Linked DNA regions of Schizosaccharomyces pombe. The protein of the gene in region 2 interacts with the protein of the main gene of each other region in a pairwise test. Each region holds a gene or a part of one and is shown on either strand. Other genes may lie near its edges. The genes, in order: arg7 and cwp1.

What was found.
Region 1: the proteins of cwp1 (region 2) and arg7 interact in a two-hybrid assay, tested with the Schizosaccharomyces pombe proteins (one large-scale study listed by BioGRID).

What each region holds. Positions count from the first base shown.
Region 1 is NC_003423.3:309,953-317,743, reverse strand, and holds arg7 (argininosuccinate lyase), read right to left. Parts: upstream 4,488-7,791; 5' UTR 4,448-4,487; coding exon 3,062-4,447; 3' UTR 2,983-3,061; downstream 1-2,982. Other genes in the region: dal52 (dipeptide transmembrane transporter), read right to left, coding at 289-1,782; SPOM_SPBC1773.13 (aromatic aminotransferase), read right to left, coding at 5,597-7,042.
Region 2 is NC_003424.3:1,862,530-1,870,003, reverse strand, and holds cwp1 (geranylgeranyltransferase type 1 alpha subunit Cwp1), read left to right. Parts: upstream 1-4,232; 5' UTR 4,233-4,395; coding exon 4,396-5,072; intron 5,073-5,123; coding exon 5,124-5,331; 3' UTR 5,332-5,453; downstream 5,454-7,474. Other genes in the region: dhx37 (ATP-dependent RNA helicase Dhr1), read left to right, coding at 1-1,752; SPOM_SPAPB1A10.05 (uncharacterized protein), read right to left, coding at 1,985-2,869; protein dpc13, read right to left, coding at 5,547-5,589, 5,644-6,032; mRNA export receptor Nxt1, read right to left, coding at 6,242-6,570, 6,623-6,641; CENP-A histone chaperone Scm3, read right to left, coding at 7,060-7,474. UniProt on the Schizosaccharomyces pombe protein: Catalyzes the transfer of a farnesyl or geranyl-geranyl moiety from farnesyl or geranyl-geranyl diphosphate to a cysteine at the fourth position from the C-terminus of several proteins having the C-terminal sequence Cys-aliphatic-aliphatic-X.

The DNA.
Region 1 (7,791 bases), on a different chromosome or scaffold from region 2:
TATTAACATACCCAATTGATATTTCCCACTTAAATCAACAAACGGGTATACAATTTGATACAAAAATTAGACTAATAGAACTAGGAATAGTGTACGTGACCTGTTCTTTTATAATTAAGAAAAAAACACAAGTTCCAATTTATTAATTAACTAAAGAAGGTAATAGGGGATCTAGTAAAGAGGTTTACAATATACTAATAACTTGACTAAAAGAATTGACTAATTATTATTCCTTCATCAATGCACACCGGTAAAAAACAGTAAAAAAACAAAAAAATCAATAGAAAATTAAATAGAATAACGAAATTCGGGATTTTCAAAGTCGGTCAAATCCTTTTTGTCTTCCTCACTCAATTCATTTGATAAATATTCGTTTTTTTCATCCCTTCTGCGATTCTCTCGCACATTAACGGCATAAATAGCAATAATAATAAATATAGCAACGCAATAACAAACGACAAATGATACTTTAGCTCCTTGGTATTTTGGAGCTTGTGTAGACCTAAATGTTTGGGGGCCGACCATATTTCCAACGCAATATCCAATCATGGAAACAGCGCTCATAAAAACTTTTTTGGTGTGGCCTGCGCTATTAGACGAAATGCAGCTAAGGATGCAAATATATGGAATTGGTGAAATGCCAAACAACCAGTATCCTGCAAGTTGTGCATGTGTAGGTTTTGCAAATGCAATAAGTGATCCGGAAGTTAAGTTAATAGCCAGGCCAACCAAAGCAATATCCATTCGTCTATTCGTAAACTCTGGGATAAGGCCAAACAAAGTTAAGGCAGCAAACGAAATGGAGGAAGTGGGCATATTCATAAGCAATGCCTTACCTTTTACGTAGCCAAGATTCTTTAACATGATGCTACTAAAATTTGAAAGCCCACCATTAGGGATAGCAACGGCTATTTGTAGGAAAAAGTATAAGTACATACGTACATCTCGACAAGCTTCCAATATTTGGTATTTCTTAAACTTTTTGCTGCCAAGCCCTGCATGATCAGTGTCTAAACGCTTGAGGACAAGATCCTTTTCCTTTTCACTCAAGAACCAAGCTTTGGAGGGTTCATCGGGAATGTGAATAAATATGAAAACCCCGTTAATTATGGTAATCAATCCAGTGATAATAAATAAGATTCTCCAAGGGGACATGGTTAAATTGTTTTCAAGCTCTCGTTTATACAAGCCGTAAGACATACTTCCTCCAATAAGACCACCAAGTCCATTCCAGGCTACAAGGAATGCCATACGAAAAAATTGTTCTTCTTTTCTATACCATTGTGCAATAAACAAAACAAAAGCTGGCGTAATAACTGATTCCAATATACCCAACAAAGTACGAGTAGCGATATAGGAAGCATAAGAATGCACCAGGCAAGTCAAGGTCATTAATATACCCCAGGCCACAATGAAGGCAGACGTTACTTTGCTAAGAGGAAATTTTTGTAACAGAGTGGATAATGGTAACGAGAATACCATAAAACCAAGATAAAAAGACGTACCAACCCAATTGTATTGATTGCCCACCATATTTAAATCGGTGCGAATACCCATAATTGATGAATAATTACTGGTGGATTTGTCCATATATTGAAATGCTGAAATGAGGCAGAGAAGTGGCATAACCCATAAATCTGTCTTTAATTTGAGTTTTCGATTTAGCGATTTGTCAATAATGGGATGTTTCTCTGCAAAAATCACAGCAACATCCTCTTGGCTGTCTGATCCTTTTTCACCCAACTCCTTAATACTGTAATTTTCTTCTTCTGTCTTCTCCATGATGAGATTAGTAGTAATTGTTGTGAATGTAAGCACAATAATAAATATTTGAACTTTCCTTCGTCCTTTATATAATTGAAAGCGTCAAAGCATTATCATTGATACAAACCAGATAAGCTACAACTATGTTGATTTTAGCAGACAAAGGGCTGCAACAAGTCAACAAATTTGACAGATTAGTTTGCAAAATACTTATTTTACAAGTATCTACAGCATTTTGTCTCAGATTCAATTTCCAACTTGGTCTTCCGTGGGTAGAATAGGTTGAAATTTCGCATCAGGTATGCATACAATCAACATGAAAATCCCCAGATTTTCTTATTTTCTCATCCACGGATCTTACATCCGTGGATAGAAGTCGGAGTATGAAGGTGCCATTTTGGGGTGTACAACTTGCAACATTAATCTACCTTTTTTTCTCTAAAGATTACCACTATTGATTTAACGGACTAAGAAATTATAAAAATATTAAAGCCGTTAAAGAAAAGTAACTTTATATAACGATATATTTATTTTTTATAATTTTAAAAAGACTACTTAATAAAATGAAAATTTAAATTAAAAGAATTAATTCTCCTTTTTTTCATTGAGGCTTAAAAAATTTAACATAATTGGAATTCAATCAGCGTGATTTTGCTAATTAAGCATTGATCCTATTTGGTTATGTTTTGAATGAGTATTTAGACACTATATGAGTAAGATACACTTGGAATCATTTTTATAAAATATTTATCTCTTTTTTTATGAACCGTTAAGAGATGAAAAGGTCTTTTAATTATTTTTATTTGCATATTCTAATTATGTTCTAAGTAATACAGAAGACTCAAGAATTTTTAATTATATTTCATTTCCAAACGTGTCTCTCTGCATTGTTTTGCAAAATCATTTATTCACAACATCGAAAAAATGTGATTTTATGCAATTAGATTTTTAGTAACTTAATTAGGAAAATATCATACACCATTTTTTATATTTGCTTTTAGCACCACTTTAATTACAAGAGCTGAATACAGAGCTTGAAATCATAAATTGAATAGGTAATCGAAAAACCATTTAAGAGGAAGTTATTTGCCATAAATATAAAAGTACTATACCTTATTGTTATTGTGGATACCTCTTTCATGCAGCTCTTATAAAAATTCTTTAATTGCGTTAATTAAATATGCATGAAGAACCCATTTTACTAAATGTACAAAAAAACTAACAGAGAGAAAAGGTATTTTATTTATAGACAATTATAGAAAACCTGTTTATTAAATTAAAAAGAAAGACATAGTTTTTAAAGAATTGCTGATCGTATATGCTCGATTTGTTCTTGAACACAATGCTTAGCAGTACCACCAATTGAACATCTTTTTTCAACACTTTCTTCGTAATTAAAGACTTTTGAAACGTCTTCATCAAATAAAGGATGCAATGATTGCAAATCAGAAACTGATAACTTGTCGAGAGTAGTGTTTCTCTCTTCAGCCATGCGAACTGCGGATCCCGAAATATGATGAGTTTGGCGAAATGGAAGACCTTTACGAACAAGATACTCAGCCAAATCGGTAGCTAGTAAATCGGGGGTCAAGCTTTCGGCAATCTTTGTAGGATTGATGGTAAGGGTTGAGACAACGCCAGTCAAAATTTGCAAAGAGTCAGAGACGGTCTTAAAGGCATCAAATAGTGGTTCCTTGTCTTCTTGCAAATCTTTGTTATAGGTTGTAGGTGTGCCTTTAACAGTTATCATGAGGCCAATCATATCACCTAAAACACGACCGCTCTTACCCCGAAGTAGCTCTAAAGAATCAGGGTTCTTTTTTTGGGGCATAATACTACTTCCCGTAGAATACGCATCGGAGAGTGTGACGAATCCAAATTCCGAGCTCGAATATATGATAAGATCTTCAGCAAAGCGAGAAATGTGAAGCATTACCATGCCTGCCCAAAACATAAATTCGATGACAAAATCACGATCACCAACAGCATTCATGGAATTCATGATAATGCCTTCGAATCCAAGCTCTTTACGAAGGAACTCGCGATCGACGTTGAAAGGGTTGCCAGCTAAAGCACCAGCACCCAGCGGTAATTGACTTACACGAGTATACAGCTGACGAAGTCTGCCAAGGTCACCTAATAAAGGCAAGGCGTGAGACATGAGAAAATGGGACCAACGAACAGGCTGAGCCCTTTGTAAATGCGTATAACCTGACATTATTACATCAATCTCCATCTCAGCTCTGTTGGTAAAAACTTTAAGCAAGTTAATGACATAGACTTCAACCTCTTTGATTTTTCTGCATAGCCATAAACGCAAATCGGTGGTAACTTGGTCATTACGACTTCTGCCAGTATGTAGCTTGCCAGCAACATCACCGATTATCTCAGTTAATCGGCGCTCGTTTGCTGTGTGAACATCTTCGTCGGATGGTTCCAAAACGAATTGACCCGAATTCCATTCTCTTTGAATTTGTTCCAATCCTTTTAGGATGCTATTCAGCTCTTCTTCAGATATCACATTTTTCTGGCACAAGGCTTTTGCGTACGCCATGGAACCAATAACATCTTCTTCGCACATTTCCTTTCCACTATAGATGGATTTGTTGAATTCTGCCATCAGTGGATCAGTAGCTCCTGAAAATCTACCTCCCCATAGTTTTTTGCTTGATTTTTCTGCCATAGTGCCAAGATGCTTTTATTCAATATTATTTTCAGTCTACAAATGATGGTCTAATTTTCCTTTACTTATATAATAGCGTGAAGAAATGACTTTTTCTTCTCAGATATTCGCACTTATCATTTTAGCTTTTTTCTCTAGTTTAGATAACACTATACGAATATGGGTCAAAATAACATCCGTGGATAGCAAGTACTCAACAATCAAGCTCTTATTGAAAGTTGATCCACTGCTAAATAGCAAGTTATTTTACCAAATACTAGATAGTTAGTTTGGAAAACGCTTTGCCAAATGATCAATAGAGTCGGAATTTTTGTAGACGAATACCGAAATTGAAATTAGCCACCTAGAAGTTGAGTTTCATATTTTTCTTTTCTTTTTCTTTACTTTACATAGCAAATTCAAGTATTCAACACCATTTTGATGAAATTTCTTCCAAAAGGCTGTTTCGAAGTGAGGTGTGGAAGCATCCACTTACAAAATCAAAAACAGATGTTCGCTAGCAATGAAATTCCCAGACACATGCCTAATTTTTACAATAATGAATAAATAATACATTCTTTATTGTTTAAAAAGTTAAGTCATCTCAAGTTAAGTTGCATATCTTTATTCAGAGCAAATTACTCTAATAATAGGGAACAAATTAAAGTAGAAAATTGAGTTGTAATATATTACCATTTCTCATTAGTTATGGAATTTTTCATAATACATTTGCACATTGTTGAAATAATTTATTATACGAGCTATGCATTTGAAAAACCTACTCGTGCTAACCAGCATTACTTTCGACACACTAATGAAAGAATTAGCTACATTAGGATCTTGAGCTGTTGTCAAAATGCTTAACGTAAATTTAAAAGAAATATTTCAACTTGGTCAGACTATTGACGATCTAAGTAAAAATGCAAACACTGATCACGAAGCACATAATATTTAAGTACAAATAGTAAAAATCACAGGGTCAGTTCCTCTTGACAAATTTTTAAACAGTGTTAAGTGCAAGGCCGGCATACTTTTTATAAACATATTTGTCTCAAAATCTGAAACCTTCCTAAAAGTGATTATTAAGTAGAACACAATTTAAAATAATCTGCACTTTCAAAATTCATATATTTCCAAGGAAACAATATTTCTTTGACTTTTATAGATGATTCAAGGGCAGATTCGTACTCTGCTTTCGACATTAAAATGCTCATTTATGACTGATGTAAATCGCTTAATTCCCTCCTCAAAGTCCTCAAAGTCAGCAATTGAATATGCGAAACGGAAAAAGATCTTAGTACTACGTTCTGGATTTGCCATAAAAAACTGACCACAAACAGTTTTTACACCTTTTTCTACAAGCGCTAGGAATATTTCCATTTCAATTTGGGAAACTGACTTTTTCGTATCCGAAAAGCGGTAATGATTTAAGTTTAACTCAACCCACAAGAATAATCCAGCTCTTGGTACGTGATAAATACAAACAGAATTTGGTAGATACTTGTTTGCTACATTAAGGAATGCGTTTCGACGAACAGTATAAGAATATTGCAGCTCCTGTAACCATGCACAAAAGCCCTCTTGACCCCAATTATGCAGCATTGCATACAATACAGATTGGCAAATACCAGACGGGCTTTCCGTGCATACTTCTGCAATCCGTGTAATATGATCAATAAACATTGAATTTCCAGTAATATAGCCAAGGCGGGTTCCTGGAGCAATCAGTTTAGAGAACGAATCAAGTCGCAAAACTCGACCTTCTGTGTCTAAACTTAGCAATGAAGGGACCAAACTCTTTAAAAACGTTGACCCATCACATTTTTGCTGTGCAGGGTTTAAACTTCCGTTATAATCTTCCATTTGTAGAAAATAGTATGGCTCATCTTCAACGATGATGATATCGTATTTCCTTGCTAATGCTAAAAGCTTTTTGCGCCGACTTAATGACAAAGTAGAACCAGTAGGATTTTGACCAGTAGGAACTGTGTACAAGACATGAGGTCTAGGTCCCAGAGATATATCCCAGTCTCTCATAATTTCTTCAAGACTTTCAGGAAGCATACCTTCCGAATCCATATCAACAGATACAAATTGAACACCTAGGGCTCGCATTGCGGTGATGGCAGCAGGATAAGTGTACTTTTCTGTCAAGACATGATCCCCATAATTGACTAGCAGTCGTAAACAATATTCCAAACCACTTGTATTACCATTACTCATCTTAATATCCCAGTTTTCGTATCGGGGAGCATGAATCCGCCGAATGTGTTCCTTTATAAATCCCACCAATTCAGAAATTCCTTGGCATTGGCCATACTGCAAGGACTGAGAGAAATTTAAAAGACCCTCAGAAGGATCAGCTTTTATGTTAAATGTTACATTAACCTCTTTGGCGTATGTCCCATTTTCCTCCTTAAAGCAACCAAGTTGAGGAAACTTGATAGAAAGCTCACGGATAGCAAACTTGTTAGGATGAGGTAAACCTGAGGAAAAAGATATAGCGTCAATCCCTGTACTACTTTTAATTCTTCCTAACATTTGAAAAGGGCCTTTCTCACGAGCCTTGCTTTCTCTCGACAAATGATGGCTAAAATCCTCACTATTCCGGATCATATTGTCAAAAATATGCGATAGACTCAAAAGAAAAATTGAAGTAGTGATATGACAAGGAAGCCTTTATAAACTTCTTTGGCCAGTTTAATCATTCATTGATTACTGTCATATTTCACTTTGGGCGGTGGGAAATCATGATCAATCCATGGATATGCACGTCTACTGACTACGGTCCCATTTGGATACAATAGGAACAGATATGAGCATTTTTTGAGATTTCCGATTTGGAGCAAATTCCGTTCCACGGGTCAACTATGGAGAGGTTAAAGAAACGAGACTTTAATTTTTGTCATCTTACTATGCCCCAGCCGTGGAAGTCGGAATGATGATCCACGGATCTAAGATAACTAGTGATCGTCTTTGAAGCAAAAGTGTTTAAATACAAGTATTGGAAAATGTTGACAAAAGTTTTTGATTACATTTGCAATCGATTAAAATGGTGATATGAAAAAAAAAAACACAGAGAATAGTGTGCGCCTTGAAATATTTCAATAAGGAATATATGAGCTTGGTTCATTTTCTTTTCAATATGAAACAAATAAAAGTTTTAATCTACCACTAATAAATAAATTGCTTCTGTTGTAAGCAAATACTCAATGGCTGCATATGCTGAATTTTTTTTATTGTTTACGTTGAAACAACTCTTTGTAGTTGGTTCATTTTTTTTAAAACCTTACTGAGTACATGCGAAAATCCTTTTGACGATTCTCGAAATGTAGAAAAGTAATATTTATAATAAGTATTCAAAG
Region 2 (7,474 bases):
CGCACAACAAAACCTGACTATCTTCAAGATGCATTTGATAAAGTATGCTTAATACACAAAAGACTCCCGGCAGGCTCTATCCTTGTGTTTCTGACAGGTCAACAAGAAGTTGAGCAGCTTTGCCAAATGTTGCGAAAGCGGTTTGTACGCTCTTTTAGGCCTCTAAAATCTCGTGCACGCATTGTAGTATCGAGAAAAACTATGTCCGTTGAGAACGAGGATTTGCAATCTGAAACAGAAGATATAGATCAAGTGCCTACAAGTTCTTCAAGTTCTGTCACATATGATGATGAATCTGAACCTATGTATGTACTTCCTCTTTACTCTTTGTTAACTACCGAAGACCAAATGAAGGTATTTGATTCATCGCCAGAAGGTCATCGTATGTGTATTGTCGCTACCAATGTTGCCGAAACATCTATTACCATTCCTAATATTCGATACGTTGTTGATTGTGGTAAGGCAAAAGAGCGCGTGTATAATGAAAAGACTTCTGTTCAAAAATTTGAAGTACGATGGATTAGCAAAGCAAATGCTGATCAACGTGCTGGTCGTGCTGGTCGTACGGGACCAGGTCACTGCTATCGTCTATATTCGTCTGCGGTGTTTGATAGCTCTTTTCCCTTGCATTCTTTGCCTGAAATTCTGCGTACTCCGGTCGAAAGCATCGTACTTCAAATGAAAAACATGAACATTGATAACATTGCAAATTTCCCCTTTCCAACTTCTCCAGGTCGTAGTAGGCTTGAAAAATCGTTAAAACTCTTGTCAAATCTAGGGGCTATTGATAGCGAAGGGGTTCTTACCAAACTAGGAGAACAAATGTCCTTATTTCCTCTGTCTCCTCGATTTTCGAAAATGTTAATTATTGGTCAGCAGCATGGTTGCCTACCTTATGTTATTGCATTGGTTTCAGCATTGTCTATAAACCAGCTTTTTGTGTCAAAGCAATCTCTTTTATATGATGCTCATGACAAAAATTCTCGTAGCGAAGAAACTGATCTGATTGATGATGACGAAATCAAGCAAAAGGAAGAATATAAAAATAGAATGCGTGGATACTTTAATGCAATATCGAGATTTCAAGCTATAGACCCTGATGCGCCTGCCTTGAGTTTGTTAAGTGCTGTGTGTGCGTATGACTATGCTTCTGATAAGAGAAAGTTTTGTAAAGAGAATTATCTGCGAGAAAAAGCATTGGAAGAAGTCACCAATCTTCGTAAGCAAATTATTGGTCTACTAAAAAGATATATGGTTAGAGTCGAAAAAGAATTTTTCAAGTTACAGCTTAAGCCTCCAACTAGTGTACAAATTAAAGCACTCAGACAATTTATTGCTTCTGCATATATTGATCAAGTTGCTCTATATGATAAAGAGAAGCGTGGATATGTTACACTTTTCCCGTCTGGTTCCGAGGTTGTTCAATTCGTACCTGATAGAACTTATAATATTGATTCTGAATATGTTGTCTATCTTAGTCTACATGAAAGCAGAAGTGGTCGTGTTTACATGTCTCCTTTAACTGAAATCAGCCCAGAACATTTGGCTAGACTTGCTAAAAATACTACTCTTTTGTCTTACTCGAAACCCCTTTCATATCCACCAATTCGGTACCTGGATAATGCAACAAAACGAGAGTGCTGGGTTATTCCTATTCTAAGTGCCAATATTGGAACAGGATCACCTTCGTGGAATCTACCAGCCGTGCAAATCATACAAAAACGGATTAATGGGCGTTGGGTGAATTGTTAATTTTATCATTTTGTTCAAGATTTAAAAAGAAATTTAGAAGAAACAAAAATTTATTGATGACAGTTTTTCTAGCTAGATTTTTTAGATTGATCACATGTGATTTTGGTTATATTAGGGACATAAATAATAATTTGGGATACGGTTTTTGATATGAGATTTGGAACTTGGGATGCAAAAAAAAAAATAATAATAAAGGACTCAAAATTGTTAACAGGAACATAAGATATATTACTTATGTAGATGTCGAAGGGACAGCACCTCCCATGTCAATATCCATGCTATCATGAGTAGGTAGATTAGACATTTGAGCAGAATGAGTGGAATTAGTAATGGGGGTATCGTTGTTATTCATAGGATCATTAAGTTCATCATAGTCATCATCAAGCTCTTCAATAATGACCGAACTATTCGGTTCATTGACGACTCCATCGTAGGTATTATAATGTACTGGTTCTTCAACCGTCCATGAAGGATGGACTTCTGTAGGGTGATACTTCACTAGTTGTTTACTATCTGTAGGATAGTAATGTGAAGCAAAATGCCAAGTCGTTGGGTAATTAGAATTCAAGGAAGATATATAAGGATGTGCGGATTGAATACCAAAAGGAAGCATCTTCAAGCGATGAGGATGTCTAACGAGGGATTTTGATACGGCACTCTTGTTTCGATCATCATCGATATCTTCTGTTTGCTTGTCGAGTATTTGCCCTGTTGCAAGGTCAATAACTTGACCCGATTTGTCAGGATGATCGGACTCTAAAGATACTCTCTTTCGAGCAATTTCGTTCCACTCATTATTTTGTGTACTAGGAACAAGGCTATTTTGAGACGGCTCAATAACCAACAGGTCTTCTGCCCTTGGTCTTTTTTTGCTAGTACTAGAATTCTGGGGAACCAAATTGTAAGGCAAACTACTGTAAGGAGTTTTGAAGGCAGGAGGCGTGTCTGGAGTTATGTCTGATAAAGCGGCTTGTTTGGAAGTTGGGACAAAAGAATGCAATCGCGGTCGTTTCAAAGGAAAGTTTAAATGACTAACTTCTTTAGTTGGAGTGGTCGTACTGTTTTCATTTTGCAACGGGACAGATATCATAGAGTCTTGTGGTCTTTGACGCTTCATGGGCGAAATGCGAGTAGTAAATTAAAAACAAAATAATGTAAAGACAACAAAAAGTAATAAATAATGTTTGAAATGAGAAAAAAATCTAAATAAATCTGTTATGATGTTTTAGTCTAAAACCTAGAGGTAATACAGACTGCCGTAGTAACTTCCTTTAGTTCTAAATTATTTCGGTAAGTACAAACCCACAAACCCGTTCTCAAAATTGAATTAAAAAACACCGACAAATAAAGATCAGTTAATTTTTGAGTTTTTCAATTCAATAAAATTTCAGTCATCTATGTTGGTGAAGGTTGCACATTATGAGCTAAATCTAAATTTCGTCTAGTGCATGAAGTCAAGCATAATTAACCATCTAGAAAAATCCAGCAAAGTCGAAAACATTTAGAAGTCATTGCTTTCTTAGAAGACACGTTTTAATTACTTTTAATTAAATTTTTATTAGCGCAAATTCTGGTTGGTCATATATTCTGTAAGGGAAAAGTAAGTAGTAATATAAATTTGACATGACTTTTCAAAGCAGCTTCGAACCCTTTTTAAGATGTTAATTTAATTTACTGAATATTAATGGAAGGTTTGGATCAATTAAAAAATATTAAAATGCTTTAAATGCTATTATTGTTGCAACATTTCATTGTAAGTATATGTAAATAATCGGAATGTCAGATTTCAACTTAAGAAATTAAAAATTGAGTAGATCAGGAGATTATAAAGAAATAATTTGCTTCGGCATTGCTATATATTTTTTTGGAGATACTAACAAATGACATTTCATGACTCTGGTGATTAGGTTCTCGTTTTAAACTAAAATAATCATTGAAACGCATATCAATATATTTTTCTATATCGTGTTGTTCACCAGAAGCCTTCAATGCTTTATATAGGTGTTCAAATAATTTGCATGAATCTCTTTAATCCTCATCAGTTTTAATCGCTAGGATGCTGAAGATACAGATTTCTCATAGGCAATTTGTAATCACTAGTCATTCGTTTTGTACGACCAAAGCGCATCTATCCGGACAGGACATGAATTAGGTATTATTATAAACTCACAACATTTCATACTCTACTTAAAATTAGATGGGTTTTGCAATTACTTGATGTACTTGATGTTTTTTTTATTGTGCTCAAACTGAAAATATAACACCGGTTTAATTAATAGGCAATACTGAAATACCACGAATTGGTCGGTGATACTCATATAACCTGTACGTTTGAAGTTTTATGAATATACTCCGTTGCCTACAATAAAATTAATAAAAGACTATGATAAAAGTTTGAAATAAATCACATATTGTAAACATGGTAATCCTAACTCACTATTCATCTACTTACTCTCCTTAGTTAACCCACCATCACACCTGAACAATAGTACGCACTAAACAAAGAGACTCATTGTTTTTCGAGTTGATAATTTAGAAAAACCTGACAATCCTTTTTAATAAAACACTTATAATTAAATTTTCGGCCTTTAAGTATTTGTTTCTTTGAGTTGAGAATTGTACAACGGATGCCAAATTAATGAAATGGATCCCATTGATCCCGAGTTAAATGAAATTTTGGATTTTACAGAATATGGACCATTAACACCCATTCCTCAGGATGATGGCGAAAACCCATTAGCGAAAATTTGCTACACGACAGGATATGAACAAGGAATGGCTTATTTTCGTGCCATTATGGCTAAAAAGGAGTACTCCTTGAGAGCACTTAATTTAACAGGTTTCTTGATTATGAATAATCCAGCTCATTATACAGTATGGGCTTATAGATTTCAAATCCTAAACCACACGCCCAGTTACATAGACAATGAATTAGAATGGCTCGATGAAATTGCCGAAGATTTTCAAAAAAACTACCAGGTTTGGCATCATAGGCAAAAAATACTTTCTTTGACTAAGAATTATGAGCGTGAACTTGAGTTTACGAAAAAGATGTTTGAAATTGACAGTAAAAATTATCATGTCTGGTCCTACCGAGTTTGGATCTTGCAAAATTTTAATGATTATTCTCAAGAGCTGAAGTTAACCAACGAATTATTGGAAAAAGACATTTATAACAATTCGGCTTGGAATCATAGATTTTATGTTTTGTTTGAAACCTCCAAGGTGGTTTCTTGGTCTTTGGAAGAGGAACTGAATTATCTGAAAGACAAAATCCTTTTTGCTCCTGACAATCAGAGTGCTTGGAATTATTTGTGTGGGTAAGTATCTCTCATTTCCATTAATTACATTCTTCATTAACTTTTTTACAGTGTACTTGACAAATCAGGACCTTCAAAACTTGATAATCTCATAGCTAATCTCCGAAAAAATTTGCCTGCTTTACACAAGCCACTCTTAGAGTTTTTAGCTATGTACGAGCCTTCGTCGTCTGAAGAGATTTATCAAAAACTAGCAAATGAGGTTGACGTACCGCATGCCGCTTTATGGACATGGATGTCCCAAAGGAGCAATCCTTAAATCTATGCTTTGAATGCTAATTGGGTTTACTGATATTTTGATAAAGCATCTTGTTTAAAATTCCTACTAATTAAGAAAGTAGTTGTGATGTATAGTGAATCGTTTATGAAATCAATAACATTAGTCATTCCTCCAATTGTAAGTTTCACATAATAGTGAACAAGTAATGGTTATTAGGCCAAACAAAGAATAAAAAAAATGTCAGAGGCATATTTTTACTTTTCTTTCTTAAGGTTTCTTCGAACAAGTTCCAAAAATCTATAGATATGTTAGTGTTCGCACAATCAATGGAATACATTCAAAAAAACATACGCAGGATCATTTTGAATTCCAGATTTTTTAAATATCTCCGTGATAGTTTCAGCTAACTGCTTGAATTCCGGATCACGAGTAATCTTTAGGATAGTAAGAGGTGACGGTTTTGAACCAGCTTCAAGGCCGTATTTCTCAAAAAACTGACGAAGACGGCCAACCTTTTGAGCAAGTTCCGGATCATTAACAACTAATGAACTCATTTTCTCTTCAAGTTTCTGGACTTGCTCATCCATTACTGGATCCTTGAAAATAGTGTCGTCAGGTTGCGTAGTCGCACTTCTCTTCCATGTTAATATACTAGGAAACCTATTCCTATACAGAAGAGCATTGTTGTATGTAAGAGGCCTTCTGATAGTCAGCTGAGACAAATACTTCCAATATTTCATATTTGTAAGGTGGTGGTTAATTTTGTGTTCTAAAGAAGTATGAGGGATTAGGGAATGTGTCGCTCAGATAAGCTTGCTGCGGCAAATTAATACAAACTCTAAACGAAATGAAATCTTTGTTTTGGATACGTATTATTCACTCATAATTCTAAAATTTTGACTGGCAATATAATACTTTGATTCTTCCTGTTGTAGAACTATATTGTCTCTTAAAGGAAGTTAGTAGAGGATCTTAGTACAAGAAGGTAAATACAATAAAAACTGACATACGAAAATACATGAGGTTTTTTTCCATCGAAACGTATTGTTCCTGAAACAACAATTATGATATTCATATCATTACCCATGACCTGTTGACTATCGAAATCCTCAACTTTAGTTTTGGAGTATGGAAGATTAACTATCATAGAGGTAAATTCGGTTACTTGCATGGGTTTTCCATTCCATAAGATCAAACTATTTTCTCTGTAAAATTCTGCGATCCCATTTCTGTTCGTATCAAGAGATGAGTAATACCGTTGGACGAACTCCTGCGCATCTTTAATTGTTAGTTTATAGATAAAGCTTTAGTAATGCGGCATTTAACATACATTTTACACTCGACTCCATAATGATTCACAATGACAGAAATTTGTAGTGGTGTAAGTAGTCATTTAAACAGGTACATGTGTTATAAATTGAAATATTGTACTCATTAAGCGATATTTAAAGATAATCTTTGTTCAACACACTGAATGGATATTTCGGCTAGATATCTTTATGACTACGATTTTTACTTATAACATGAAGAGTGGAGAACAATTATGTGTACTCATTTGCCATACTACAAAAGCATAGATCACGTAAAAACTCAACGAATGATTAATATATTAGTAAAAAAATATATATTCGAATGTAACATGATAACTCGAAAGACAATTTGTTGTAAATGAAAACAAAAAATAAATATATGTTCGAAGAAATAGGTCATTAAAAGCCATGGTATGGCAAGCGAAGAAGATGGGAGAATAAGTGGTTTAAAGCTGAATCAACATTTTTTTGACTCAGAAATGCATTGGAAACAAAATGCTTTTTTACAAGTGCTGGAAGAATGAGGGTTCTGAGTGCTACTTCCTGAGAACGAAGTTTGTTGACTTAAAGGTTGAAAACCAAGATTAAAATGATGGGTAGAAAGATTAGGTCGAGGGGATATCATTGAAATTAATGAAATAAAGTTTCTTCGTTTTGTAGAATTGGAGTTTCGGACTTTTGACTTAGAAAAAGATCTACGTAAAGGAGTTTTAGGAGATGATAATAAAGGGTTCCTTCTTCTCGGTGAAGATAAAGTATCAGAGATGACGTGCAAAATCTCATTTTGTTCTATGCTTTTATGCTTGATTGTATCCAAACCACGCTGATCTGTTAATGTTCCTGATGAGTTTGGCAACAGACAAGATTTTTTT